4 linked regions of the Lepisosteus oculatus genome follow. Each later gene encodes a partner of the first gene's protein in a complex. Links are inferred from orthologs where the notes say so. Each region holds a gene or a part of one and is shown on either strand. Other genes may lie near its edges.

What was found.
Region 2: mybl1 (region 1) and lin9 share a complex: the UniProt entries of both Homo sapiens proteins name them as parts of the DREAM complex. The link is inferred for Lepisosteus oculatus from reciprocal best matches to the Homo sapiens genes MYBL1 and LIN9.
Region 3: mybl1 (region 1) and tfdp2 share a complex: the UniProt entries of both Homo sapiens proteins name them as parts of the DREAM complex. The link is inferred for Lepisosteus oculatus from reciprocal best matches to the Homo sapiens genes MYBL1 and TFDP2.
Region 4: mybl1 (region 1) and lin52 share a complex: the UniProt entries of both Homo sapiens proteins name them as parts of the DREAM complex. The link is inferred for Lepisosteus oculatus from reciprocal best matches to the Homo sapiens genes MYBL1 and LIN52.

Annotation. Positions count from the first base shown.
Region 1 is NC_090701.1:51,408,529-51,415,556, forward strand, and holds the start of mybl1 (myb-related protein A), read right to left. Parts: upstream 3,008-7,028; 5' UTR 2,921-3,007; coding exon 2,898-2,920; intron 1-2,897. UniProt on the Homo sapiens protein: Transcription factor that specifically recognizes the sequence 5'-YAAC[GT]G-3'.
Region 2 is NC_090697.1:55,789,304-55,796,730, forward strand, and holds the start of lin9 (protein lin-9 homolog), read right to left. Parts: upstream 3,003-7,427; 5' UTR 2,915-3,002; coding exon 2,836-2,914; intron 1-2,835. UniProt on the Homo sapiens protein: Acts as a tumor suppressor. Inhibits DNA synthesis. Its ability to inhibit oncogenic transformation is mediated through its association with RB1. Plays a role in the expression of genes required for the G1/S transition.
Region 3 is NC_090708.1:15,800,270-15,808,070, reverse strand, and holds the start of tfdp2 (transcription factor Dp-2), read right to left. Parts: upstream 3,022-7,801; 5' UTR 2,358-3,021; intron 1-2,357. UniProt on the Homo sapiens protein: Can stimulate E2F-dependent transcription.
Region 4 is NC_090703.1:9,641,039-9,648,935, forward strand, and holds the start of lin52 (protein lin-52 homolog), read right to left. Parts: upstream 3,024-7,897; 5' UTR 2,995-3,023; coding exon 2,919-2,994; intron 2,404-2,918; coding exon 2,329-2,403; intron 1,757-2,328; coding exon 1,719-1,756; intron 1,513-1,718; coding exon 1,446-1,512; intron 40-1,445; coding exon 1-39. Other genes in the region: aldh6a1 (methylmalonate-semialdehyde/malonate-semialdehyde dehydrogenase [acylating], mitochondrial), read left to right, coding at 3,498-3,536, 5,793-5,834, 6,106-6,180, 7,430-7,591, 7,802-7,880.

The sequences.
Region 1 (7,028 bases):
CACCCCCTCCCCCCCCACCTCCTGAACTTCAGAGTGTTCCACATGTCGCTCTTTAACAAACAAAGGCTTATATCACCAGTATACATGTATGAATCATTAATAGACAAGAATAATGGAAAGCTCACTTTTTCCATAAAGCTTAGTTGATAACCTGTCAGTTTTATCCTGCTTGTGGCTATTGCAGTTTCCACAAAGACTAATACAGAGGAACAAGTTCTTAAAACAAGTTTCTGGAACCTAACTAATGTGACCCTAGAGACCTTAAAAGAGAATAAGAAGCTGAGGAAATACAACCACCTTCAAAACACTTGAAACCCATGGAATCTGAAATAACAAGAAAACTGCAGGCATTCTACAAGCATCTAGATGAAACGACTCAGCCTTTGCACTAAGTTCATTCCTCGGGTTCCTGAGGAACCAGCTTGATAAGATTCTTGGATCAATAACCTATCAGCAACCTGTGTAATAGCCCATAACTGATGTATTATGGGTGATGATCATGATGGATCGCAGAGAAAGAGCTTAATATTACACAGCCTTGGTCAGTGGCCTGACAGCTCCAGATTCCTGGGTTCAATTCCACATTGGGATGTCTGTCTTTGTGATGTCTAAGCAAGATAGGTGGGACTAAATTGTCCAACTGAGGATGGTTCAAGAGGAATTAATTAGCTGTTCCCCCAATTTCCCAAGATAACCAGTAGTAGCTATGGGACTAAAGAGAAATAAAATCAAGCGAGCATGCTTAGAAACGTGTTTGTTTTGAATTTGCAATACTGAGCATCTGGTATTTTTCAAGACTTATGCTGTAACTTATGACAGACCTATTCCTTAGTTCAGAGGGACACAGAACACATCTGCTTTCCCAAGGTTCTTTTATGAGCCAGTGATCACCCAATAAACAAAAAATAAAATATTATACAAAAATGAAACAAGATTTGAATATTAGAAGATGGGTGGCACACTTCCTAAGAACAACTGAACAAAAACAGTCTGTCTACAACTGGAATGTATTCTTTTATGTCTGCAGCTAAGCAGCATACTTTAATCAAAGTGATTTGTGGTCCAGGAGGTCATTTTCATTGGGTGCATTTCTTCACAAGATCACTGTCTTTAAGGAACTACAATTTCACTAATATTACATACCTGCAATGTAACAGATTTTCACATCACAGCTTTAAACATAGCCGAGTGTTGCTTTTTGCTTAGAAAAACTGGGCTCGATATAAGTTCAGAAATACAAAAAGGACGGTGAGTAATGTGAAATGAAAAACTATCTGTAGCCAGTATTGCTAGATGTCGATTATTAAGAGTGAATCAAAAATAAAAAGGAAACATTACAAGTTTATAAAACATTCTTCTGCTGCATGTGACCAGAGCTAATTCCCCATGTCATTCCATTGTGCACAGGATTTATGTAATCTGCCTACGTCTATGAAAATGGCAAAAAGACCAGTGGATGACCTCTTCTTAAAACAAAACACTACACAGGACCTTACAAGGAGAAAAAACATTTAAAAGCAAAACCTCTTATTAGACTGCATTTCTCAAATAGTCTTCATCCCACTCGCAAGCAAGCAGAAAGCAGGACTGCTACAGTACCGCATTGTTCAATCAGTACATGCATGGCCTTAAGTAGTTTTGCAGAAAAAGCGTGTTATTATTGTTGTTTTTGTACTTTATTATACGTCTAGCCGACCTGATCGAGGTCCCAGCAGACAGAGTGTATCCTAACAGTCTCAGCGAGGTGCGAAACGGTCTTGGACAAGGTACAAATACCTCACGTACTGAAATCATCTGGTGCAGCGAGCAAGACTGAAAAAACCTCACTGGCGCAGGCAAAAACCCCGAGAATGTAGCGCGCAGTTAAGACTACAGGGGAACGCGGTTTTCCCCGTCAACGGAAAGTTTTTAATTTTCATAATATACTCGATGAACCATAGCCAGAGGGGGGGGGGGGAAGAAAAGCGATTATCAAAACAGCAGCCAAGACAGAAATGAGCCTGAAAAATACCCCCTCGATTCGTGCAGCATTCGCCTCGTTTGTGAACGCTTTGCCAGGTCATTTTTTTTACTCTCAGCTGCCCAAGTCCGAGGTGCAATGCAAAGCCATCTATCCAAGCAAGCTGGGCATCAGGTTTACAGTAGAAAATGTTTTTTTTAAAACCACAATAAACAGTAACTATGAGATAAGAAGGGTGGATGGATGAATGAATGACGTTAAACAGCGCACTAGGGTTTGGACAGGAGCCCGGTGCACTAGATACAGTTTTCAACTGATCCAAGTTTCCTACTGACTCAGACAGGTCGATGGCGATCTGAGCAGTGCCGGTGGAGAAAGCGTTAACTGCAGCATCCCGAGTGAAGTACCTTCCCCTAAACACCCGGCGTTGGCACCGCTCCCTCTAACTGGCCGGAGCGCGAATCCACTCACATCTACAGGACAGGAGAAGTCACACAAGCAGGTGCTGATGTGGCAGGGAGCACGAATCGGCAGGGACATGCTTTCGGCGTTTTAAATCAAACGGCAATGAATAGCAGAGGGGCCAGCGCAGTAGCGAGCTATCAGTGAAGTGAGGGGAGTTAGTGAGCATCTGCAGACGGGAGGCATTAACTGCACGCTGTCAGAGTTCAGTATCCAAGTTCCTACTTTGCTGTAAAATTACTGCAGGAGAAAGACAAGGTCGACATGTGTCACACGATCACATCGCGACTGTACCGTCCCGCCGCGTCCAGTCACACCTGGCGACACCGTTAACGGAGAACCTTGCCCCCCAAGTCGTTTCTGAAGTTGCGGGAGCAGGCGGCTGTGCAGCCGCAGCGTGTAATTATAGTCGTGCACACAGGCCGTGCTCCCGGGGGGAGGTCTGGCGAAGGCGGGGAGGGGAGTCGGCACTCACCTGCGCGATCTCCCGCTGGCCATGGCGACCCCGTCTGCCGACGAGCCCCGGAGCACGACCCGCCGCTGACTTGTCGCCTTCTCCTTCCTCTTGTTCTTCTTCAGATGCCTCCCTGCTTCGGGGGATAGCGGTGTAAGGTCGACGTCCACCCGCTGTCAGTCCTCGTTAGTGCAGCCTGTCCTTCGGCGACGGAGACATCCCGGCTGCGCGATTACATTTTGAGCCACCTCGGAGCGCCGCTTCTGTGTGACCAAGTCCCTCCGCAGCGCAGCTAACTTTCTCCGGGCTTTGCAACTGTCACCACCTCGGGGTGCTGTCAGTGTCCGCGGTGTGGCAACGGGGGGACGGACGCCGAACTGCGCATATTTTCCCTTGTTTGAGCCCCAGTCAGCCGCCGCTCGCCCTTCCTCTGCGATGACAGCGCGTCTGTGTTATTTTCGCCGCTACGGATTTTTTTTGTCCATCCCGCCGATTCTCGCGCCCAACCTCCTTCTAGAAAAATGTTTGAATCTGCGCACGCGGCCCCGGATCTGATTGGTCGGAGGCGTGGGCGGTCCCTCGCTCTCGCCGTGCGGCGTGTGACGTATTTTGTTTGGTCGGGAGGGGGTGAGTCCCAATGTGCTCAATGGAGTTGTAGTTTTTACGGATTAGGCTGCAAATAAAATTACTTTTGTTTTTATAATGAAGGGGGGCGCGAGTCCGTCATTTCATTTTTTTTTATGTACCGGAATAATTAAACAAGTAAGCCTACAAATACTTAGAAAATATGACAAATGAAAAAATTCCATAAAGATGTCTGTGAGGACTAAATAAATCATTATTTGATAGGTAGCAAACATACGACGTTGCTAGAACCTGACTTATTTCAAAATACCCTATTTCAAAACGGAGACTTGTTACGTCGGTTTGTAACCATTTGCTTCTATGTAACTATGTAGATTTGCTTTGTCTTAATACCACCATGTATAAGACTTTTAGCCAGTTAAATATGGTTTAAAGGCATACAGAGCACATAGCACATTTGCTTCGGTTTCTTAAAGGTTGAGACGCAAACTGCTCTGTTTTAAAACGGGGGGAATAAAATTCAGAAACGTCTTTGTTTTGCATGCTGGCAAGAAGCAATGCAAATAACACCTGATACCGAATATAACTTAACATTGTATTTTAAAGTGAGAGGAAGAGTCACATTTAACTTTGGAGGTCAGACCCATACTCTGCAGCGGCAGATATGTGGGTTTATAAAGTAAATCTGGATGTTTGGTTTATGAAAAGAAAAAAAGAACCGGTTCAAATGCACAGTTCATTCTTGACACTAATAAATACTGCCCCCTGGTGTTCATTATTTTATAAAGAACTGCCTTCACGTATCATTAATGTGAAAAAAGAAATTAGGGGATAGTGCAAAGGATATATGTCACCATCAAAAAGTCTTATTACCTAAACAGCAATTATTTCTGAAAGGAAGAATCGCTTAAATTTGCGATTTATTATCATTAACACTACTACTTATTTTGCCTACTCAAAATAAGAATAATTCTTTTGAAGTTAGCATTAGGCAAAGGAAAAAAACGACAGGTCCGAACGCAGAGTATTCAGAGTAGTGTATTTCTGAGCATGCAAACGAATATATTTCTATTTTTTTATTTCCCCCGTTTTAAAATAGAAAGAGCAATTAGTGTCTCAGCTTTTCAAATACCGAAGCAAATGTGCTATGTGTTCTATATGTCATCTCTATTTAAACTCATCCATGGTATTTAAAACGGGAAGTTTCAGCAGCATTTTATTCCAAAGTGCTGCTATAAAAATACACCCTTTCTTTGGCCGCCATCGCATCATCCAGCCAAGAGCTACTGTACACATTGGTGGTGGAGGGCAGTCCCCATTACCTGTAAGTGTCCAGCAAAGCGCTATATAAATGTAAAATTAATATTTTTTATTGTTGCTATTTTCCGGGCACACTTCAGTTCAAAGTGCTTGTCAGAATGCACACCCCGTTTAGCAATATAAATAAAGTGCCGTGCAAAAGTATTCAGCCCCCTTAGTCAGTATTTGGCATAAGACACTTTCACTGCCATTCCTGCTGTGAGTCTTTTGGGAAAAGGTTTTATAGGTCTTGCACACTGGGATGGTTCTATTTTAACTTTTTTGGGGGGGTCAAACTCGGTCAAGTTCATTTGAGATCAGTGATAGCAAGGAAATGACTTGAAAAACATCATACCAATATCTAAGATCAGTAAATGCAATTAAAAATATATATATACAGGGGAAACCAGGATTAGCAACCCTGCTTTTACAAAGAGTCCTACAACACTTTAAAGACCAGGTAGTCAGGACCTCAGTTTAAGGGTGTCGTCTCCACCTGCTGCAGTCACCCCATCACCATACTGAGGTACTGCATTGGAAATTCTGGTACAGAGGAAACAGTCCAACTTACTGATCCACCAAGATCGTTCACAGCAGCATCAATGTTTTGCTTCAAGGTCTCCATTTCTAGGAATGACCACACCCAGTCTCACATAACATCCAAGATCTGGGATCAAGCTGGTAATGTCAAATAGCACAGTACAGACACCTACCTTATTGCGTGATCTTCAGATTTCTTGAGCTCTTCTTTTTTCTAGTAAATTTAAAGCACTGGCCTACACACAAAGTGTCTGTTAAGATGTGTAGGTCTGAGATGAGTAACCTGGAGTTAATTAAACACAATGGAACGCCAGAGTGTGAAGCAATTACTTTATTGCACTAAGTTTGAAAAGTCATCACGCATGCTGACAGCAATGTTGTATCCTCGGTAACTTCAATTGTTTTATTAGCAAACAAGGGGAAAAAAACATTTCTGTACAGATCGAAGTATAGTACAATATATACTATTATAATACACTGGCTTACATTACATATAATTAGTACAGCAGTCACAAAGAAACAAACCTCTGGTTTGTTGGAAATTACCAGTGTTGCCCAGACTAGGCAAATTTACTACCTCTTTCCATTTCTTTCATTGAATGGACAACAATATAGACTATATTCTAAAACAGAATCATATATACACTAACACAAGCTATTTATACACATTCTAACAAATTTCCCTCTTACTTTGAAAGTGCTTGGATGTGTTTTCTCTTGTACAACTTGCCCACACCAATTCATTCTCTCCGGCTGTCGAGTTATTGCTCAGCCTCAATGTTAAAAAAAGAGACGGCATCCCACCTTTTAATCCATCATGGAAGTCGAGTTTGGATTTTGCCATCTTTTCACACAGTTGGCACAGATAATGGAGTTCAGTGCATGTAAATCAGATGTAAGGTACTTCCAAGACTACCGACTGCAATCAAAGATACTTCACGTACATCATAATTTGTGAGCCAGGACTTTCACAGAACAAGGTACTTAAAATTATTCTAGCACTTCACACTTCTCAAAATGGTCTCCCTCTTCAACAAACATGGCTGAATTCTCCTTTGGGCTCTCTGCACTGAGTGGGCAGCCTCTTACGAGCTGTCAGGCCCTCTGGTGTGTAGGTCCAGCTCCGATCTGGAGCTTGACAAAATGGTGTTTGGAAGAAGTCAGACCAGTTTCTTAAGGGCCTTGATCAGTTGTGAATTGGGAAGAACCCGTGAAACCCCGCAGGTTTCCAGATTAGCCCAGAAAGAGATTTCCCTCTTCCCGGTCGACATCGTCAAAGCAGAGAGGTCTGTTTGGCCACGTGTGCCATGTCACGTACTTGAGGCCTCCATCACCTTTGAAGCTCACCATTTTCTGCTGGTCAACACGAGGTTTTCCTCTTGATTTAACCAGGAACTTCAGGTCATTTCAATGATTTCGGTGGTGGGGGATGGGAGGCTGCTCATTCTGGCAACTCTCCTCCAACCAATTCAAGAAAGAGGAAATATTTTCAGTGAAATGATGAGGCTCAGATTTAAGAATAAGTCATGAACCAAATTGCTGTGATGATTTTAAATATCTTGCGCTATGCTTTTACTGACCTTTTACTTTTACTTTATGTGACTCGATCTAAAAATATATGTACCACCATTATAAAATACCTTCATTACATTTAGGAACACTGCATTTAGAGGCACCTTTTTGAAAACAAAATCACGTGTGTGTGTGTTTACCATTACAGTTTAAATG
Region 2 (7,427 bases), on another chromosome or scaffold:
CAGCACAACTAAGTAAATATTCCTTGGTTTGAAGCTATAAGAACTGGAAATGTTGACTATCTAGGCATTACCCATTGTCTATAGATTCTTTGAGACACTTTCATAGTCACCTACAATAGTCTAAACCGGTGCGGTGGCACTGTGGGTAAGGATCTGCGCCTGTGGCTGGAAGGTTGCCGGTTCAAATCCCACAGAGGAATCCTACTCTGTTGGGCCCCCGAGTAAGGCCCTTAGCCCCAGCTGCTCCAGGGGGGCTGTATAAATAGCTGACCCTGCACTCTGACCCCAAGCTACTCTCCCTGTCTGTGTCTCATGGAGAGCAAGCTGGGGTATGGGAAAAGATGAATTCCTAATGCAAGAAATTGTATAGGGCTAATAAAGTGATCTTATCTTAAAACAACATGGGTATGATGCATGCAGTAGAAAAAAAAAATTATCCATCTTAAACCAATTCATCACAATCTGAGATGAACTAAATCCACATTCGAGCAGCTAAGCAGAAAGGATGGCATAGCTTGAGATGCTGTCAGGAAGGTGAAACATAAGAGTATAACAATTTGGTTACTACAGTTTATGTAATAAGTATATCATCTGTAATAACCCAATAATATGCCACTGTGGTTCAAAATTCTACTTCAGGAGATTCCTGTGACAGAGAAGTGATGCGTGTTCACAGGTAGCCCAAATATATTTTTGGTCATATTATTGATAAAGTGGGGTCATATATATTTTTACCCTTTCTACGTTTGTGAGATATAGCTAAATAACTACTACGTCTTCTGCCAGAATCCACAATCGCGTCTTATCTGTTCCAAATGACTCTGTTGACTTATTATTCAACAATCCACCATAAGAAAATTTGTCATCATAAGTAATTTAATTTTCATCTGAAAAAGCATCTATAAAGGACAGTGAGTATCAGCAGGAGAACTTAAGGAGATCTAGCCTACATTTTAGAAATGGATACATATGTAATTGAAAAATCAGCTCTATAAAACAAACTAACTGCACTTACTTTCAAAACCAGAAGTCAAACTATGTATAATCTGTCACTCCAAGAAAGGCCATATGATGAAAACACAAAATGTGTGCAATTATTAGCAAGTTCAGCCAAGAAAAACAAGAACATGTGGCATTTTGCCACTCCATATTCAGGGAGATTCTTTGACTGGACATTGAAGATGCTGTAAATAACATAGTAGGAGGGCAACATGAAGGAACATGATCTCCTTGATAACAGTATAAAGTATTCTTCAAATTAATAAAATCATTTTTAATTTTCTTTATCATTAGAATGTTAAATTCATGTTCTGTTAAATACATGAGCAATGCTAGAATAGACACACAAGATTTTAGAAACCTTAGAAATGAGAAAATCAAAGAAATTCTTAAGCTGAGAAGAGACTACATAAAGTGTTGTATGCTAAAGCTGTTACACAGTACTTGGGTATTTTTTAAACCAAGGCCTAGGTTCCTAAAAAAGTAAGCCTACCAACAATATGCATCACTGATTAAGGTCAAATTTCAGAACCAGGACTGAGAACCACTGAAATACCCATTCCAAGGTTCTTCATTATGGTATAAAAGCTACAGTTTCTTGCCTAACAGATGCATGTTGGAAACCTTTAAATCTATCCAAGTCCTTCTTCCGCAATTGTTTGCATGAAGGTCAGTCCATTACCAGAGCACTTGTTTAATATTTGTCACAAATAAAACATGGAAATCAATGAATATCAAAAGATTTCTTTTTTTTTTAAATCTACACTTTTGATGATAATTTCAATTCCACATTTCCAATTGTGAAAATTTCATAGATATCTCCATTCATCCATTTTCTAACCAATTTACCCAATAAACCCAATTGCACAGAAGCAGGAGCATAGCTTGGCAAGCAACAGGCACAAGGTGGGATTCACTCTGAATGGGACATCAGTCAATCACAGGACATACAGACACAGAGACACACATTCACACCAGGGCCAATTGTCCCACAAGTCATAGAGATCTTTAAGTTTTCCAATTTGCCAGTCCATTGCTTACAGAACTGTCTTTCAACAAGAAGAGTATAGTTTGTCCATATTGTAATAACACTATGTTCTGCAGTACAACTAAATTGTATTCATATAGCTAAGATACAATTAAGTTTATGAAATGCAATGAGAATGTTACCAAAACAATATCAATGGAAAACCATCCATCTCATTTAAAATACGAACAAGCTCCAATAACGTTTTCTGCAGATTTTTAAATTTAATTCACTGTACAGCAGGCATTCGATATGCACTGCTATCCAGTTAACACTCCTGTCATGAGCTGTTTGAGCACACAGGTAAACAATGTGTTTACAGTACAAAAAATGATAGACATTTCACGGTACTTTTTTACACAAGAGAATTTCGCATCGCTCAATAAAAAAGTTGTTAAAATGAACACGTCAGTGTAAAGAAACGCAGAGCTTTATTATTCTCCGTAGGCTCCAGCTAAATTGTTGTTGTGGATTTAGAAAGGGGAAGACCTGCATACCTTTTCGTTGATGATACACAAATATATCAAATTCTCCTTTGTGTGTACCTAAAGAATGACTGTCAAAAAGGTTGCACAATGCTCACCTCTGTGTTTTTGTATTGATATTAGCTACTTCATTAAAAGCAGCTGATCATGGCACAAACAAGAAATATTCGCGTCAGAAACAATTCCGTTAAGCAGTCCAAATTCATTTCGGGCGTGTTTTTCAGAAACACTTGAGCAGTGTCCGTTCAGTATTACTCTTGGAAATACTGTTTCCGAACATTTTTATCAGTTTTTAAACCGCTTGTCAGTTTTGTTGTTACTCACTCTCGTCCAGCAGCTGCTCCAGCTCCGCCATCTTGAATGAGCCGCGCCGCTTTTTCAAAGGCTGCCGGTCGGAATGCATTGTGGGACAGAGACTGCCGGAGAGGGCAGTTCGAATGCGGGATGGATGTTTAGTGCGCTTGTTATTCGAGTATTTTTGTAATTTAAAGTTGAATTTATCATTTGGCTTGTTCTTTAATTCGTGATTCTAGAGAGTATAACATTTTACAGTACAACCTTAGCATTGCACACCTATGACGGAAGAAGAAGAATGTTCTGTGTACTACTCTTATCTGCACTCTAGCTACTTGATGATTTCCTGAAGTGAAACTTCTGGTTTATAACAGAGACTAGGGTTGTGACATAACCAGGCCTCCCTGAGACAGAACAAGTTTGTAATGTTGCCTTTAAACTAAAATATATTAACGTTATTAGGTGTCTGCTCATACCTAATAACTCAAAGATGATTATTGTTGATAAAAGTTGTTGAATGTTATTTTTCATGACATATATTAATTTTGGTATTTCTCCATTAATAGTAGGAAATCTAATATGAGCACATTCTTCCCTAAATAAAAATAACAATTATTTCTTCTGCTAGCAAATACTGGAAACAGCTCATCTGACCAGGGGAGTTTCGGCAAATCAGAATGATATTTTAGCAAACACAAAAATATAGGCAAGTGTAAAAGACAAAATATCTTGTATATCTCCAAACCTGAAAAGGTTTATTTTACATACTGTGCTCATCACAAAGTGTTTACAGTAGACAGAAAAGTAGGCATATGCAAGGCAGATATGCATATACACAAGAATGGTTTAATGCCTATGATTTACATTTGTAATAGCATATTCATTATATATATGACATGTACTTGAAATATTTATTTTGGTCTTTTCAGAAGTTGTTTTTTTAAATCCCTGGGCCTGAAGAGGGTGCTATAAGACATTTAATAAAGCCATTATTTGCTTCTCATAAATCATTGGACTAGTCAAATTCAGATTATGTTAAATACAGAGTAAAAGTTTTGATGACAGAGTAACCATACAGGATTTTTAATTAGATTTAAATTACTAAAATGCAAGAGGGGCAACAGCTGCAATAAAAAACAATGCTGGTTGGTACGCTTCACTTTTTTCAAATCAAATACCTCCCTCAGAGATTAGCTCCTCCCCTGGAGAGTGGGCTTCCTCCAGTGTCCTTCTGTTGCCTGGTGTTGGTGGGTTCTTGATTATTTCCAACACTCCTCTGGCAACTTCAGCTCGAGCCTCTTGCTTACCTCTGCTGGCTCCACTAACCTGTGTAGATGACATGGTTAGGGATGGACACCAGAACAAAGCAGTTCAAGCTGATGATCAGCTTCTCCTTTGCCCTTAAAGGCTCTCTGACTTCAGGTGCTTGATGTAAGGAATCTAAAACACAGTCTTGCCTATCTATTTTTTCAATTATCTCTGCTCTGTTAAAAGAAAGGGGCATGGAATCTCCAATTAAAATGGATTAGTGAGCAAATAAAACTGTCAAAATACATTCGTGTTTAGACTTTTATAATGCCAGTGAGAAAAAGTTACTCAGACTATTTCTGTCTACCTAACAGAAAGAATACAATAGAGAAATCCTTCTGTAATACAGATAACAGGGGCGATGGCATCAGAACAAGGGCTAGATTTTTACCTCTGAGGTTTATTATATGTTTGCTCATTTTTAAGCTTATTAACAATCCCTTTACAGTGTGTTCTTTCCAAGGCATTCCCTATTTAAAATTTAATAATAAAAGAAATCAGGCAAAATAGGAAGTTATTAACTTATTGTGGGATTTAGCACGATTTTTGTAAGATGTTCTTTATTTCATGCCTTGGGGTGTAGAAGAACTGTCTGTAGTGTTAATGAGTAATGCTGCTATCTACTGTATACAACCTAAAGCCTTTTTAAGGCCATAATGTTAACCACACTGTTAATACAGCTAATTAGGACCATACCCAAGGCAAGACTCTCATGAGTATGAAAGCACTTTGGAACTGACAGAGATTCTGTAGAAGGAGGTCACTGTAATCAGCCACGACAGGACTTGTACTGTGCGTGATATTCTCCAGTACCAATGTTTATTAAGGAAAAACAAACAAATCCAAAACAAATGAACTTCAGGATCATTCCCATGCCATTAGTCAATGTGCAATTTATTAACACCAAGTTTACTCCCACAAGTTGCCTTTAGACAGTAATGATGTCTCCAGATGTCTTCTTAAACAGATTATTTCAGAGGAAACTACAATGGAACGGAATAATTACCACAGGGAACATCAACGGACCTGGTGAGGATGCATATTTGCAGTATTCTCAAGACATAATACAGCAAAATGGCAAACTAATTCTTGAATATTGTAATAACAACCATACAAAGAATAGTTCTGGACTGGCAGAGCTAAAAAATGTTATGATAGAATTTAAGATTTGGAGTGTTTAGTGTATCTCATTATTAAACTGAAAACTAACCTCCATAGGTAAATTGACATGGCCTGCGCAGAAATTCTGAAGTGAATTGGGTTTATAAGCTAGACATATAACATCCTCTGGGAGTCTGTTACAGCAATTTGAACTATAAAAATAGGGTCTCACAAGAATTTGCACTAGAATACATGGAAAAATAAATGTCATAAACACAATGAAAATAAAACAAAGGTCACATAAGGAAAAGGAAGATAGACAAAAGACAAGAAATAATTTCAATACTACCAGATTTATGGAAACATGATGACCATGTATTATGAAGGAAAGATTACCTGACCTGAACTCAGAGTAAAAACCTCTATCCACTACAACGTAAAAATCAATTTTTGAAGGCAATTTGGTGTGCTAATCAGTGGAAAGAAGCCATCAAGGACTCAATGTGTAACTCGCCAGTTCTCAGGTAGTTTAAAGGTTTGATTTAATCTTGTCTATTTTGCCTGTGTTTGTATTTAGACTTTTTAGAAATAAATTGTCCGATTAAACCTGAGTATGACTCTAATACAATACTATTAGTCCTAGAGCTTTCTGATGGTACTGTTGCAGAGAATCTTTCCGAGATTATCCCAGATGAACTATAGTCACCCTTCAGCCCAGACACCAGCCTTTACAAAAGGTCAAAGGTTGAGACTTAAAATACTACAGAAGCCGATGGAAAGTCAGTTGTTTAAACACATTTTGCCAATGTGTGAAGATGTGTTAAACTAAAGTTCTTTTAGCAGATGGGAACAGTGAGTTACTGTCCTTGTAATCCCTGTCACCTACAGTTCAGGTATTAATGTACAAGAATATTGAATGAATAGATAGTGTGTCTGTGCAACAGTTATGTAACTGTTCAGAAAGCAGCAAATCCCAAAGAAAGGTGTTTTATTCTTAATCGGTCTAGACAGCCAAACAGCCTCCTCTCATTTCTAACCTGTCTTATGTTCTTAATTAATAGGCTTATAGATGAATTATTCTGCATATCACTGTTTAATTCATAAAGTATAAAAAAGGAGTTATATTTCATTGTGTAGAATGACAAATGCTTCCTCTGAGAGCTGGTTTGGGTTAAATTGCATTCTTTACTGCACCACATACAGTTCAATATCAAATGCCTTTTCCACATGCTTCATTTTCGCTGAAAACTCTGGCAAAAATACTATTTTTATGGCATTACAGCTTGTGTTGGCAATAAGATCCCTGCCTTTGCATTTTATAATAACTAGCAGAACACTCATATGTGTTAAACTTTATACTGTTTACTTGTGTTTAAAATTAGGCATCTGCTATAAATCGGTATTCTAGCAGTAACCCAAATGCACATTTGGCATTGTATATTTGGGACACTGCTATCTGCTGGAGTAGAGGGCATGGAATTCCTTTTCAGAGTAAACTGTAACAAATGGAATCCTACTCGGAAGGTAGTGAGTAGAGACCAAGGACGGATTTTAACTTACATTAATAAACCCAGATAAACAAATTTATAATAATAAATAAATAATTATTATTTTTATTATATTTAATAATTCCTAATCAGTATAATTCCTTACACTGATATAGCACTTTTCTGGACACAACGCTTTACAGGTAATGGGAACTCCCCTCCACCACCACCACCAATGTGCAGCATCCACCTGGATGATGCATCAGCAGCCATAGTGTGCCAGAACGCTCACCACACACAAGCTATCAGCAGGGGAGTAGAACAGAGTGAAGCAACCAATTCGAAGATGGGGATTATTAGGAGGTCATAATAATGGGGGGAAATCTGGCCCAGGACACAGGAGTTTACACCCCTACTCTTTTCAAGAAACACCCTGGGATTTTAAATGACCTTGGTTTTACATCTTATACTAAGGACGGTGCCTCTTTTAAAGCACAGTGTCCCAATCAGTATACTGATCTCTCTCTCTCATCCAGGAGGTCTCTCATCCAGGTACTGACCAGGCTCACACCTGCTTAGCTTCAGTGGGCTGCTAGCTGTAAATTGCAGGGTGATATACAGTTGTGAGAAAAGTTCATGAACCCTTAGGAATTATATGGATTGCTGCATGAATGGCTCCTAAAATGTGATTTGATCTTCATCTAAGACATAATAATATACAGTCTT
Region 3 (7,801 bases), on another chromosome or scaffold:
CAAGAGTGAACTATCAGAAGTACCACAGTGTGCTACCTACCAAGAAGTGACACACTGCTTGAAGCAAAAGGGACAGTCTAAAAACACTGACTCAATTATACATAGAAAGGAAAACGGAGATAATTAGTTCTCCTTAAACAGGGAAAATATTGTTTTATTTCAGCCAGTGTGATCACTGCTGTTTTCACAACGAGCAAAGCTAGCTCACTGAACTGTAGAGAAATGCTGAAATGGCCGTCCAATTGCTTTTCCACAGGTAAGGATCTCAGACTATGCACAAAGGTTTTACCACAGATCCCTCAGAACGGCGATCCTTTACGTCATCCACTCTCGTACTTAAGAGGCATGTGCCGTGTGTGATAGAGGCAATCAGAACATGGAGAGAACCACTCTGAAAACAATTCAACACTCTGATAACAACTCTGGTCTTTTACAGTTCGAAGTGTATGACTGCAGCAGCTGATGCTGAACTTTCATATTCCCAACCCCACCATTATTTGCTGAAATGCAGGATAGCAAATATCTTAAGACACCTGTCACACACACCACCCCTTCACCCCAGGAGGGTCTCAGTTTTCACAGCCTTGCCACTAAGAGATTATTACTTTAAGCCGTTTGTACAAGCACAACAGATGTCCACCACAAGTATGACAGCTTGTTGTTCTGTACTATGCAAAAACACCAACGAAGCAGCTCTAACAGTCCTGCCTCAACAAATGTAGGTTTAGATTCACACTTTTCTTCCTGCCAGACATGACATTGTTTGCCATATGCTGTACAAGTACAATCCGTACCTTACAAGGATCTTTGTCCTGAAAAAGTTCTGGTCTCATAAGGCTGTACTAAATGAAGTGTGGGAACTAAGAAAGGATTTTGAATGTGTGCGGTTACTTCTTTATCTCACTCTGAGGGACTTCACTGCCTGCACATCTCTGTGAGAAAGCAAGTCTGCGTAAGGCCACTTCTCCAATCTACCATATAATAAAACACTGACGCAACATGAGCTCCTACACTGTATCTCCTTTTAGGACGTTTAATGCAGCCTGAAAGCACCGGAAGAGATCCAATCTTAGCTGCAGGGTGGACATTAAAAAAGGCTTTCATTAAATACATTCAAATTACAGAAACTCTAAAGGATGAGGCAGTCTTCTAAATGAAGTAAAAAATTCAGAACAAAAAAAAAAAAGGAAGATGATCTCTATGGCAGAAATAATTCCTTTTTCAGTAAGTGATTCAACCTTAGAGGGTTGTGGTGAGCCAGAGCCTAACCCCATCAGAGCAAGGCTTTAGGTGGGGCTACATCCTGGATGGGACAACAGTTCATCGCAGAGTGCACACATTCACACAGGGAAGCCATTAGAGACGCCTGCTAAGCTAGACAGCTTGAGGGAGGAAACCGGAGGTTCTGGTGAAAAAAAAGGACACAGAGAAAGCATGCAAACTCCACACAGAAGGTCCAACAGGCTAGATCTGAACCCAGGGCCAAGACCTAAGATTCACTGACACTGACATCACAGTGCTGCCCCCTGCCATCCATAGTACTCACGTCTTTTTAGTGTATGTTTTTAATAAAGAGCGGAAAATGTAAAAGATACCTGTGATTACGGGGTAGAATATTTGGGTTTAACGCTTTTGTGAATAATCTTTTTGTAATCTTTAGGTATCAGGCTGGACGAGTTTGGGGTTGCCCACTTTAGATCACGAGTTAATGGAATTGGAAGATGAAAAAGGGACGGCTAATCAGTCCGTTTAAAAATGACAGCAGTTCTGAAACATGAAGGGAGAAATCAAATTCAGCAGAACACACTAAGTCAGAAGCATGTGAGCAGATGTACAACACTGCCAGGAACTGGACGCCTATTCAAAAGGAGGCTCTCTGGCATGAGTGATGTTGATCCCAAAGAGGAATTTGTAGACGATGGCTGGAATAACTTACTCGGAAATCATACAGGGCCGGTACACCGCGCATGCAAAGCAGGATGTTAACCATTTTCTGCATTTTCACTCTTGCAAAAATAGCCCAATTCGTCTTGTACAGAATTGGCATTTGATGTTTCCTTTACTGCTCGCGAATTAGTTTGCATCACAAAACTGTACCAAGTTGGACGTAATATATTAATATAATATAGCATTTGCAACATAAAATAAATACTGCACACGGCAGTCCAATTATGTACATTTTTGTCAATGAAAGCTTGCACATCAGACAATTTAATTACAAACATCTTAGCGTTACTGTAGTATAAACATATTAAACCCTACACCGTCGCATTATTTGATATTTGTCAAATCCAGAAAGAAATACTAACAGTTAAAGACGGCAACGATTTTAAAAAGCATAAGTCAAATATACTTACCATTTTGTTTTTTGTAGAAGAATTCACAGTCAAGGGCAAACTTTAGTTTCGTTTTCAGTATGTGCGATTTCTTAACCGCATTCATCGGTCGACTAAAATTCTTATAAACTAAATAAGCTAAAAATGTGCACAAAGTGATGTCTACGATTCGACACTCAAAGCGAGCTTTAGACCTTAGAATACGAGCTTTAAATTCTACGAAGAGATAAACTCGCTTTCAAATCAAGTGATATACAGTACTGTAGGTCGCTAGACTGTAAAGTTGCAATTTTGGAAAGACTAAAGTCTAAAGTGCAGAAAATAGACTTCAATAAAAAATCTCGAGCACAACTTGATTTTTGCAGCTTCCGACATCCAAGCAATTTCCAGTGAATCGATGCGCTGTATTATCCTACCCTGCGGGCTGTGTCTTTCGGGAGTTTTTTGTTCGCTTATTGTAACGATCAGCTCAGCCTTTTTTAAAAGAAATACACCGCAGCTTGAAACTACCGAAGGGCGCCAGGCTGGTTGCTATCCTGACGCTAGGCGTCTTGCGGGTGTTGCGCGAAATTGCCCCCCGCACAGTTTTGAAAGTGGGGGTGAACGTCAATGGTCTTTGCCCGAGTTGCACTAACAGAAGGGAAACAAGCTGCAAAGCAACTGTCGTCCGCTTCCTGTCAGAACAGACTCCGCACACAAGCTTGGCGGCGGCTGCAGCTGTTCGCTCTGATTGGACACGCATGTCTGTGATGCTCGACACCAGATGAAAGCAGATTGGACAACCCCCCCCTCCTTACCGGAGCTGTCATCTGGCTTTTTACAAAGAAGACAGGCCGATATGTAAACAGTACGGATCTAAGAAACCCATCATTTTGATATATTTCTTGTTAATGAATTAGAGATTCATATTTCAGGATGTCTTTTATATCATTTTAAGAAACCTAAACTTTAGGGGACACCTCAAAGTACTTTATGAGACTTCTGGAAATATCCTTGCAAATATGTGAACGGTAATTTACTCTCCGATCCCTTACAGTTCAGATTTGTATCCCTGTAAATCATTGAAAGAGATATCAAAATAGTTTGTTTCCATTTTGCACCAACAAACAGCGAGTCGTTCCAACTTATCTCTAAATGATTAGTCATCTCTGCATATGCTGGTATCTTAAAAAAACGAAAACAAAGGAAATGTGTCTGCGATACCTCAAATTATAATAATGATAATTAATGATTTGTCTTGACTTAATAAAGGGGTGTCCGTTTTTGTTCACTGTAACCCTTCACGTAAGAGACATGGGGAAAGAACATCTTTATCTCGTGCGCAGGACAGATCGTGCAAGCAAGAAAAGTAGTGGGGATGACATTACGTAAATCTCTACTGCACGACCATCAGGATTGTGCTTTTACTTCATCTACATCGTTGAGAATGGTTTGGCCACGAGGTATATCTTCTTCGCACGACATTATTATCTCACAGTCACGACTTAAGAAGTCGTGCGTCAGAGAAAAAAAACAATATTCCCGCTTTTCGCCTCCTAGGCTCCATAAAATAATAACAGTTCATCTAATTAAATGAGAAGGAAGCCTTCCCAGTATTCCGTGTCTTAACAGCAGAGACTTCTCTGTTGCAGGGTTTCTCCAACCAAGAGACTGGACTAAATGTGTCTTAACCTGGAACTCCTGCTTATAAATGTTTTCAAATCCAGAGTAAGGTCATGTAGAGGGATTTTGTAGACTTCCGTTTGATTAGATTTTTACATTGAGAGACCTCATCAGGAAAAACGTCTTGTTCATCGGTTATGCCGCCAGAAAAATGTGGAAATCCCACCTTGTTGTACCCTACACAAACCAGCACCTTCAGAAAAACTGTTGTATAAAGGCCCACCCACACACTTTTACAATTTTACAAAGGTATAACCTCCAGAAATAAAGCCACTGGGTAGCAATAAAGCCAATTTGGGAATTTCAACATTCAAGTTCTTGGATCTTATGTGGCCTACTGCAGTTATTTCCTCTCCAAGACAGACAATCCACCCTTTTACTCCCCATTCCCTCCAAGTTTGGATGAAGAGCACAATTCAATTCCATACCTGCTGTACCAGTGAACATGATGACATGGTGTTGTTAAGGGACACCAGGGACAATTTGGGAATATTTATCTACAAGTGCCATTTTCAATGGCTTTGGTATGGTGAAATAACACACACAATAAATCTGTGAATTGTGCAAGTTAAAGTAGTTCTGTTCATTATACGATTGAAATTGAAGTAAACACCTTAGTTTTCTTTGATGATGATCTAGGAAAGCTAAAATCACCTTTTAATATACTGCAGACTTGAAAGGGACTCATCACCTATTCTAGAAAGGATGCTTAAAGATGTTGCAGCATCCTTCATTTATAATGTGAGTAAAAATAATTTTCAAAGCAAACAGCTTAAATTAAGCTCAACAACCAGTTTCAAAATCTTTAAAATTGCATTTTGTCCCTGCCAGGACATTCCTGCTTCAAAAGGTTGGGTGATACATAGTGTATTCAACTAACTTTTACAGTTATGATGCAAAGATGAAACCAACAACAGAATCATATTAGCTCTAATGCAAAGACAGTACACACGGATAGTTTCTGTTGAGGTACAGCTATTCTGTGCTTTGGTGATGGTGTTGATTTTAAAGTGTCTGTGCATAACACTTCACCATCACCGCCTGTTAGTTAAACAGAGAAGGGTGTGCATGTGTGTGTAGGTATGAGGGTAGGGTGGGGCACATTCCATTTTCATGCCAGTTCATGTAAGTGGTATGCAGTGGTGTATACCAGGGTTTGACTTTCCACCATATAAAAGTGAGGTCTGGTACCTATCTAGTTTATTTCACCACTATTCTGTTAGTAATGGCTGATTTCTTAAGCCAACCAGTAGACGTGCTGGGATCGCGGCCTATCGGGCCTGGCACAGAGTCCGACTAATCTAAGTCATAAATCTTAATGCCAAGTTCGATACTCTGTAAATTATGCATCCCTTTTCAGTAACACTTTAGATTAGGAGTTCTATTTCTAAATATTTTATAATTGAAACATAATAACAACATTAACAGTCAGCAAACTTTGATCATTTCCAAACTTTAGTTTAGATTAATTACATTTGTAAAAAAAACTACTTCTGATTACACCCCTAGGATTAGAGGTGTGTAATTTAAGAACTCTTTATAAAATCATTAAACACATGTTAATAGACCTTTAGTACAGAGAGTTAAACTTAAGTGAGACCCTTTAGAAAGTATCACTTATAACTCCTAAACCAAACAAATAATTGACCAGTTAATTTATCCATCCATCTATTTTCTAACTGGTTATTCCAATTCAGGGTTGTGGGGTGAGCCAGAGCCTATCACTGCAAACAGCACGTGCAAGGCCAGGTCACCCTAGATGGGATCTGGTTAACGACTCCATCGCAGGTTACTGAAGCTTCCTTTAACCATTTATATACTGTATGAGAACAAACTGACTTTAGTCCATAAATGTACAATTTGTCAGTAAAGGTGAATTCCTAACAGCTTATTAATACTCTGTTAATGCTCTCTTGATATAGTAAAGATGATGAAAATGTATAATACATGAAATTTGCAACTTCTTATCTGAATTTCACTCGTCAGTACTGTTTTTTCCCCTCTGCAAAAACCATGGACAAACTGTTCACTCCAAAGTTAATGAGTAAGACAGGTCACATGCCAAAGGTTCGCCCACGAGGAAAATCAGACACTTTGTTATAAATCCTAAAACAGGGCAAAATAATTATTAACACAACCTGAAAGACACCGTTTGTACAATCTAATTAACAAACTGTGCTATGTGATATGAACAAGAATACTGGAGTAAACCTCCATGCCTCAATGTAGTCAAAACAGAACACAATCTTATACAGAGGTCATTTATAATTACTTTAAATATACAGTATATTAATGGTTTTAATGCATAAAGTTTTGATGATGTCATATTTTAGCAGCTGTAGGAAACAAAAACAATTTGAAATACGTTTCTACAGTGTTGTAATCAGGTAGCAACCCCTCTCCCCCAAATTAAATGACATTAACCTTGCTATACAAGATTGTCATTTCTATAAAAACTGAAGCCTCCAGAAATTTGGGATCATAAAGTAATAGTCATGGCAAATACAAATCTTGGTGTTAGTGATAAAACAGCAAAATGCAGTACAGAGGTAGTACTATAAAAGTGCAGTTTAAAAATGCATGATTTGGAATTAAAAAACATTCCATTTCAAAATTAAACATGTAAATACTCCAGTTAAAAATATACTATTTTTAAAAAGGAGTACATTTTCACAGTTTAATTATACCCAGTGTTTGTGTTCAATTAGATCCTGTAAACATTGAATTTATTATTTAACAAATTCTAGGAAATGGATGGTTATACATATTGGCACATAAGCCTGAGCTTGAAATAAAATGCATCTATAAACTGCTCTATAACAGACAATACCTTTGGTGAGACAAAGAGCAAAGACAACTACTACTATAGCGAAGGAAGAAGAAAAAGCAGCCCATGAAATAATATCTCCTCTGTGTGTGGCACCTGCCCCTCTTTCACAAGCAAAGCAGTATTTCAGCCTGTTACAACCTGTTGGACAAGTTCAGGAAGCTGCCGTTTGAAAGTTATGCATATTTCCCTCCTCAAAACAATAAACAAAGCAGTTTGGTTTAGATACTATGCATCTAATGCATCCAGCTCTGTAAACCTCAGAAATACAAAAAGGCACACTTCCAGATTAAGGACCAAGAAAGACCCACACTTCTACACAGGAACAGAAGAGACTGCTTTCCTCAGGGAGGTATACAGAGTGAAAATGTGTTTTTTTTAAATTAAATGACAGCATTTAATTAAAAAAAAAGGGAAAGTGCAGGCCTCATTTTGGCCAGTATGTCACAGTTAAAAATAATTTTTGATCATCATTAAAGAGAGAAGCATTTGGAATTATTATGACACCTAATTTCTGCATAAATATAAAAATACATCATATTACTTACAGTATATTAGGCAAAAGGGCAAATCTTTCTATTAAGGACTAGCTGGTCTGTTTACATTCATAAGGGATACTCATTCTTCATATCACTCCCATTAACACATACATTGCAAATAGTGTATAGTTAGTTATGCTCCCCAATATAAAAGTAACACAGATCAGAACAGGTCGAGAAAATAAACAGGATATGTAAAGAAAATATCTTGACGTCTTTTTTGAATCAGCCATGAAATAAAGCTTTTATAACTTACTTTTTTGTTCGCATGAAATCATGTACCCTGGCATTCTTCAGAAGAGCTTCATGTAATATTCCCTTGTAATCACTCAATACATCATCTTTTTACACCCAATGTATTCTAATACTTGGGAACCTTCATGAGAATAATACATATTGAATCATTTTACTTTAATGCCTCAGTAAAATCATGCAGC
Region 4 (7,897 bases), on another chromosome or scaffold:
CTTTCTCCATCAGGTTGGCAGTGGTCAAGCTCCCTAATTCTGCAAACAAGAAGACACCGAATTCAGACTGTCAGGCCTTTTTTACGAAAAACCAGAGGCTAAGGTCAAATGTAGTAAATATTAGGAATTAGGCTAGTTTTCCTAAAAATATAATAACAAACAAATAAATGTCATGGGTCCCACTGTATAAGATGCACAGATGAAAAGTGTTTTAAGTTGAGCCGTTTTGTTTTGGTAGGGGGAATCAGGGGCTGAGTGAATTAGAAAAAAAACTATATGGTTGCAAAGAGCTAACAACAAGAGACTGAGATACAATATCTTATCCCTGAGCTATAGATGGTACATGTGAGACAGATATCTTATCTTATTACTAATTCTTAGGGTTAAATATGCTGAACTAAAAAATGATTTCTAATAACTCAAGTAAAATGTCATTAGTCTTTGAATTTATGCTGTTAGAATATAATGGAAAAAATTTATTTTGTTTCACGCAAAAATTCACATTGTGTTTAATCTACTTTTGGATGGCCTCATGCAAACGAACAGAACACATGATATAGATTATCTAAATCTAGAAGAACAGGTACACTGTACTCTCTACCATCTTTTCATTTCCAGTCTCTAATTTATCTCACATTCGTGTTTCACTCCCCAAATCCAATATATTCAAAAGGATGTTTCATTTTATTCCACTGTCTATCTTCCATCTGGTGGCATGGTGATGGGCCCTGGGTTCAATTCAGGACCTGCAGTACTATCTGCGTGGAGTTTGTATGTTCTCCTTGCGTTCATGTGGGTTTCCTCCGATGATCCTATTAGGTTAATTTGCTTCTGGGATAATTGGCCCTGGTGTGAGTGTGTGTCTGCCCTGCAAATGACCGGCATCCTGCCCAGAGTGTATTCTGCCTCGTGTTATCTGGTGGCTGGGATAGGCTCCCTTAACCCTAAATTGGATGGAGCGATTAATAGATATCTATTAGATATCTTGTATAATTCTATTCTTCTTTATCGTGACAAAGACAAGTTATGGTCCTTCAGCAATTTAAAATGAGTTTGAGAGTGGTTTATATTTCACCCATTTGTTATCCTACGCAGAGGTGTGAGAGCGGGAGCCCCACCCAGCAGACACTGAGTTCCCACTGATGGGTTGCCGGTACACTGCAGTACACATACAAAGAGACACCAATGAAACCAGCCGACATGTCTTTGGAAGATGGGAAGAAACAGAAGCACCAAACAAATACCCACTTGATCATGGAGATAAAATGCAAACTCCCCACGGAAGGTAGCCCAGCCCAGGTTCGAACCCTGGACAAAAAGGCTATGAGGAAACAGTGCTGACCTCCACGCCACACAAACTCCACAGCTTACTTCACAAGAACAATCATAGCAAGTTCAAAATCAACACTACAGATGGACTACAATACTCAATGCTACACTGTTACCTTTTAACATCTCAATGTCATCATTCTCCAGTTCAGCCATCCACTTGGGTGGGGAGTTGGTTATTGGCTACAGAAAGAAACGTAAAACAGAACTATAATGGCAAAGCCAATAAAAAAAATACAAACAATTCTTCTTGGTTCGATCACTTCAGTGTAAATTGCCATTCCCCCAACTCACTCTCCCGAGAAATAACTACAAAATAAAGTATATAATACGTTCATGAAGGTTTATTATTTATGTGCAAAAGAAACATAGCACAAAAAAACACTTACACTTTTAAAAGAAGCTGCAAATTCTGCTACACCAGGCACTGTAATATAGAAGTTTAAAAAAACAAACTTGATGCACAATGAACCGACATATTCCAAGATAAAGGGGTCAGGGGGTCAGGAGAACAGTACAGGAACAGTTGACTGCTGATTTCTGAGAGCGTGAAGAAGAAAAGACAAAATTGGAAAGGACAAACCTGACCAGGCAATAGGGTTATACCGTTACTTCAATCTGGCAAGTGCCCTGGGACCTTGTAGTTAAGCATGAATGCTCAATCTGTTATCTCCTTCATAGAAAGGAGATCTACATCATTAAAAATGAACATTGTAATTTAGCTCAAATAAAAGAGGACTGCAGGACAACTTACCAGATAACCATTTATAATGCTACACCTCAAGCAAGCAGACCGGGTCTTAAATTCACATTATGAAAGCACTCGAAGAGTATTGTATTAGCGAACTGTACGAATTGGAGTTTCCCTCCAGACCGCGAATGTCTAGAAACTTGCTAGTGTGTGACCAATGCAATGTTTTGAAAGTGTGAATAGCAGACATGCAAATCGTTTTTGTACCAAAGACATTTCGCGCACATGTGAGGGAGGTCAAAACTTACATTGCTCCGGCCACAGATCTGGTGAAGCCCGGTCTAACTTTTCAAAGCTCAGCAGAGAGGTCTCCAAGTCATCACCTTGATTACAAAACAACATGCATTACACTTTACATCATAAATGTCTACATGCTTCCTGTAACGAGGTACAATATATGACCTCGATTATAGCAGTACAAGTTATAACTAACAAAGAGCTTAATCAGGAAAATAACGTAAACGGAAATAAAACTATTATTTGACAACATAAAATGCACAGCATTATAGCTTCTTTGCCCTTTTACAAGTATGCAGAGTTAGAAGTCCGATCCTATTCAAAATACACATTTGTGGTTCTCTACACCTATGTAAACCCATCCTATTACGTACGACATACAATACCTAAATTACTATTTAATTAAAACACGCTAGCAAATCGACAGCTATGTTACGAAGCATCTCCGTAGTGGCCACTCAAATTTAAAAAGACAATTCGTAAGAAAATACCTAAGTTTCAAAAATGCGATATTTTGTCTAAATAGTTCTTTCGGTGAAACTGCAAAAGCTTTCTAAACCCTTCTTCCAGAAAGTCATATAAACCTGAAATTAGAATTTACCTCCACTGGGAGACGCCATTTTCAAAACAACATCACGTGACCAACGGGGCCTGTTTGCCGTTGCTGATAAATTCATGCAGTTTTTAAATTTCTGAATATTTAATTACATACGTAAACCACATTGATAATTTGGTACTCATTACGTTTATTTTTTTTACTTATTTAGTAACTGACACATAATACATTTAATCTACTTTGGCGATTAAACATAATGAATGGCATTAGGATAAACCTGTCAAATGGAGGTTTGAATCCTTCACGTTTTGAACACCCAATGAATGTCACCATGACGAGAGTTTTCGCCCAATTGAGTCCGAGGTTGGGCGGGTTTTGTCTTAATTTCTAAGGCTATGAGCAAGGTGGATGAAAACTGGGAACCAATTCTCCTCCGAGAGCGGTGGGAGGTTTTTTCCCCGAGATAACGATTGGTGGAACATGTCTTTTTCCCCTCCCATCACGAATAAGTGTGTGTGAAGGAGTTTGTCGTTTCTCCTTTGCTGTCAAAAATTTACGGGGGGCGGGGGTTAATCTTGTGAAATTATTAGGGATTTAATTCATAGCGAGCTATAATTTGCAATCATGGCAACAGCAATTATCAGATCCGTGTGGAGGAATAAGGTAAGAGTGCATTGTGAACAGTTTATGGGTTGGTTTGGTCCCAGATTCTTTGTTTACACAATTCTGTTCCTTGCTCGATAGTTTTTAGTATCCAGCGCATTCCTGGAGTTTCTTGCCTGAAAGTCATACAAGACACTTCTCGTGCGCTTATTGCTAAAAATATGCGGTGTGTTCTAGCTGTCTTTTCCAAATTGATTGGTAACTAAAATTATCCTGGCAGTGAGTGCCGCATTATTAAATTACATGTGATCATTTGATTTGGAAATAGAGATTGCAGAATAAAAGCTGCTTATACTCAGGTGGGCTCATGCAAAAAAAAAAAGTAAAATGCTAGATTTTTTACTTTCGTAAGGATAGGTCAAGCAAGGTGTGCTCAGAGACTGAAGTTCAGATGTGCTTGTGATCTTGTCGGTATAGAAACTTCCTAATATTTAAATTCCTGCCTAGCTTAACCCCCTCACCCAACACGCACTTCATCATTTAGGTGTTGTATCAGAACCAGTTCTCCCTGATCACTCAGTGTCATTTGTCAAAAAAGGAAAATGCTGCCTCTTCCGTGGCTGTAAGTCTTTTTCTGCCAGTACTTCTGGTATTCTTCAACAAAATCATTCTCTGATCTGAAAAAGAGGGCTCATGCAAACAAACAAGAGTCATGGAACAGTAATTTGATCCATACATGCTTAACCTTTTATCATTTGCTGAAGTGCATTTTCACATTTCAATTTGACTGCATAAATGTATACAATATTTGCTATCTACACCATCAACAAAAAGAACAAGAGCTCACAATTATTAGAATTTAAAGAGTCTTATTTCAATCAATTTTTTTTTTGACTGCACTGATAAAAGGCTTTATTGTAAATCGGCGATTAAAAGCCTTTTTGGTTATTTAAAGATACACATTATTTCATCAAGCTTCTGCAGGGTATCTAGTTCACTTGCTTCTCTAGATCTTTAGATTAGGATAGTTGAACACTCTGAAACAAGGCAACAAAACTAAATAAAATGAGAAAAATACAAATTCTCTTTTGGATGTATTTTAAACACAAATGACAATTTTAGATAAGTAACTCCCCCCAGCCAACCTTTAAATGCAAAATTTGAAGGTTAAGAGAAAATCATCCAGAAGCACTGTCAGGGGTCATAAGATACAAACTGTGTGTCACTGCCGAAGTTATGCAATAGGCCTTAAGGAGCAAAATGTTTGCTGTGTTGTGGAGCCAGCACAGTTTGAGATTACAGCTTTAAGTAAAGGTGGATATAACATACTGTATTAAGGACAGTGGGAAAATGTTTGAATTACAACATCGAAATAAAGACTAGGGGACAATCATAAACTGATTTTTTAAAGTTTGACATTTTTTAGACTGATAACTGGAGGCACGTTTTGTACAAAATGATTTGTACGAGTCTGGAGCAATCTTCCCAGCCATGTTGTCGAAGTCGATACATATCTTCTTTCAAGACACAGCTGGATAACTTGAATCAGCTGCTCCTAGCAGCCAAACTGGGCCAACAGCCTCTCGTTTGTAGCCTTTCTGATGGTTTGATGTGCACTCCTTCCACCCTTTCAAGGCAAAGTGTTTTATACCGAGATTACTAATTAGCAAATGGAGAAAATGCATATACAAAATTCCTTACAGCACTTTTCAGTTATGGTGGGGATAATTGTAAAATATCAATGTGTTTTTATTTCAAATGTTCTTTTCATTTGTAGGCTTCTTTTTGTGGACATAGGCTGTTTGCTGTATTATTTACAAATTTAACAGTTCAGTAAATGATTTAAAAGTAAAGGTTTATATGTCGGGTGGCACAGTTGCTCAGCATTGCTGCCTCACAGAGCTGGGGCCCTGGCTTCAGTTCCAGATGAATGCTTGTGTCCGTCCGCTCTGCGAGTGACTGGCGTCCCGTCCAGGGCGTATCCTGCTTTGTGCCCGTTGCTTGCTGGGACAAGGAACCTGAATTGGAAGAAGCGGTCTGAAAATGGATGCCTGGATTGTTTTATAGTTCATCGAATTTTCAGTTGAGTTAGATCTAAGAGACCTCTAATAAAAGCTGAATGAGTGTTTGTTTTACCTTTGTTACTGTACAGTATTTTCAGCTTCAAGGCCATGTTGCTGTTTTTCTCAATGAATGCCGATGAAGGACTTTTGCAAAATCTAACGTGTAGTTTAGTTATACGACAGCTTCTTTTCTGCCTTCTTACCAGCGTGTTTACTTCACTAAGCTTATCTTTGCCATGCTCTTGTGTTCCAGGTGCCCCTTGGTGTTGGGCGAATGTACTTCTCCTCCTCTGTGGTGAGTTGGTCCATTTCTTTCATTTTATAAATTAATGGGAAGAAATGCGATGGTCAAAATTTCATTTCTATTCTGCTGTGCATCCAAGGTAATGTAATGTAGTCTCTGTTGATTTTTTTCCACGTGAATTCAGGCAGTTTAGCCTTCACTGTGATGAGAGGCATCTGGGATAATAGGGTTTGTTGTTCATAAACACTATTATTGTTGTTACTGGGTTCTTACTGCATGTGATGAAGCTCTTGAATTATTTACAGTTTTCTTCCTTCCACAGCCCACAACCAAGCTGTTCATTGATGGAAAGTTTATTGAATCCAAGAGTTCAGAATGGATTGACATTCATAATCCTGTAAGTACCCATTAACACTTCCTGAACACTTGTATAAAGGGAAGGATGCATTAAACCTTTCAATTTCAAATGCTTGCATCCTTATTTATGAATTTAATTGACAGCATATTTGATTAACTTGGCAGTTTCACTTTTTAAAAGCCTCCCGTGCCTGCTACTCTGTGAAAGAGGTTAATTACAAACACCTGCCATGATGCAATGAGTTACATTCAGATGGCTGATCTCTACAGCTGTGCACTTTTAATCAGCCTCTGTCTGGAATATGTGACTGCTTTAATCCCTTTATGTTGTCCTTAAATAGAAAATACTCTAGTTTAGTTGAAGATGTATATTCTACCATGCCTATTAATTATTGACTAACATTTAGTTCAACAAGTAAAAACCCAGCCAACAGAAAATATACTATCATTTAAGACAAAGTTACATTTAATCGTTACATCATGCTGAAAAGTATGTTTTGTGTTTCACTATGAAAATCTACTATTATTGTATTATGTAGAAATACTAATAATTATTTTAAGAACTTGTATGTCGGGTAGCACTGCTTAATAATTAAGCAATATAATTTTCTGAGTTCAGCAGTTATCTTGCTGTAACCAAGCTCTAAAGGTCAGTCTAGATATGGAAATGGTGTTTGTCTGACTCCAGCGGGCATGGCTGAGGACAGCCTGTGATGTAATCTCAAGAAAAATAAGTAAAATAAAAATCACAAGTGACATATTGGTGACGTGGGTCTGTCATACCATTGGCTTTACATCATTATTGTGTGTTATCTTTCTGCCATTTACTGATTTACTTTCAACCGTTTGGCAAAAGTGCTTTTTCAAGGAGCTTTGCTAAATCCTTACTGCCACAAGCTAGTTAAATTGGCCCTGGGTGCACAAAATTACAAGAAAAGTCTCTCTGGAACCATCTTAATTCTGTCATCTGTAACTTTAATGCATCACACCAAGGGTAGGGAACAAATGCTTTGTTTCTGTAGGGTATAGAGGTACCTTCCAAACAGCACCAGATTGGCACCTGGAAAACACAAATTCTTATTTAATTGGTTTCATAATGCTGCCAGGGTCAGAGATAGAATGAAAACCAGAAACAAAACGCGTCACTCAAGGACCAGAGTTGCCCACCTCCGCACTGCACAATCAGAGAATGGGAAGGAGAAAGAAAAAGCGCGTCGTTGGGAAACAAATGTGGTTTTTTCCTGATTTCTAGTCCCGATTTACCTGCTGTGGGGTTTGCTGTTCCACAGGCCACGAATGAAGTGATTGGCCAAGTGCCCAAAGCAACGCAGGAGGAGATGTTGGCTGCTGTGAACTCGTGCACCAAGGCCTTCCACTCCTGGTCAGCCACCTCTGTCCTCACCCGTCAGCAGATATTCCTGCGCTACCAGCAGCTCATCAAAGACAACCTGGTAAGAGTCCCACCATCACTGTGGGGATTGTCCTTTTCTGTCCCAAAATGAATTTGGAGGAAAGGTCCTCCTTGTGGCCTTTTCCAAACCCGCAGGAATGACTTTGTGCTTGTTTTGCTTCTTCTTCGGACTCCCCCGAGCTACCTCTACGTCTCACCTCCAGTAACCTCCCCACCCTGAGTCTGTTCACATCGCTGGTGTTATTTCCAGAAAGAAATTGCCAAGCTGATCACTCTGGAGCAGGGGAAGACGCTGGCGGACGCAGAAGGAGACGTATTTCGAGGACTGCGTGAGTCCGCCCCTGTC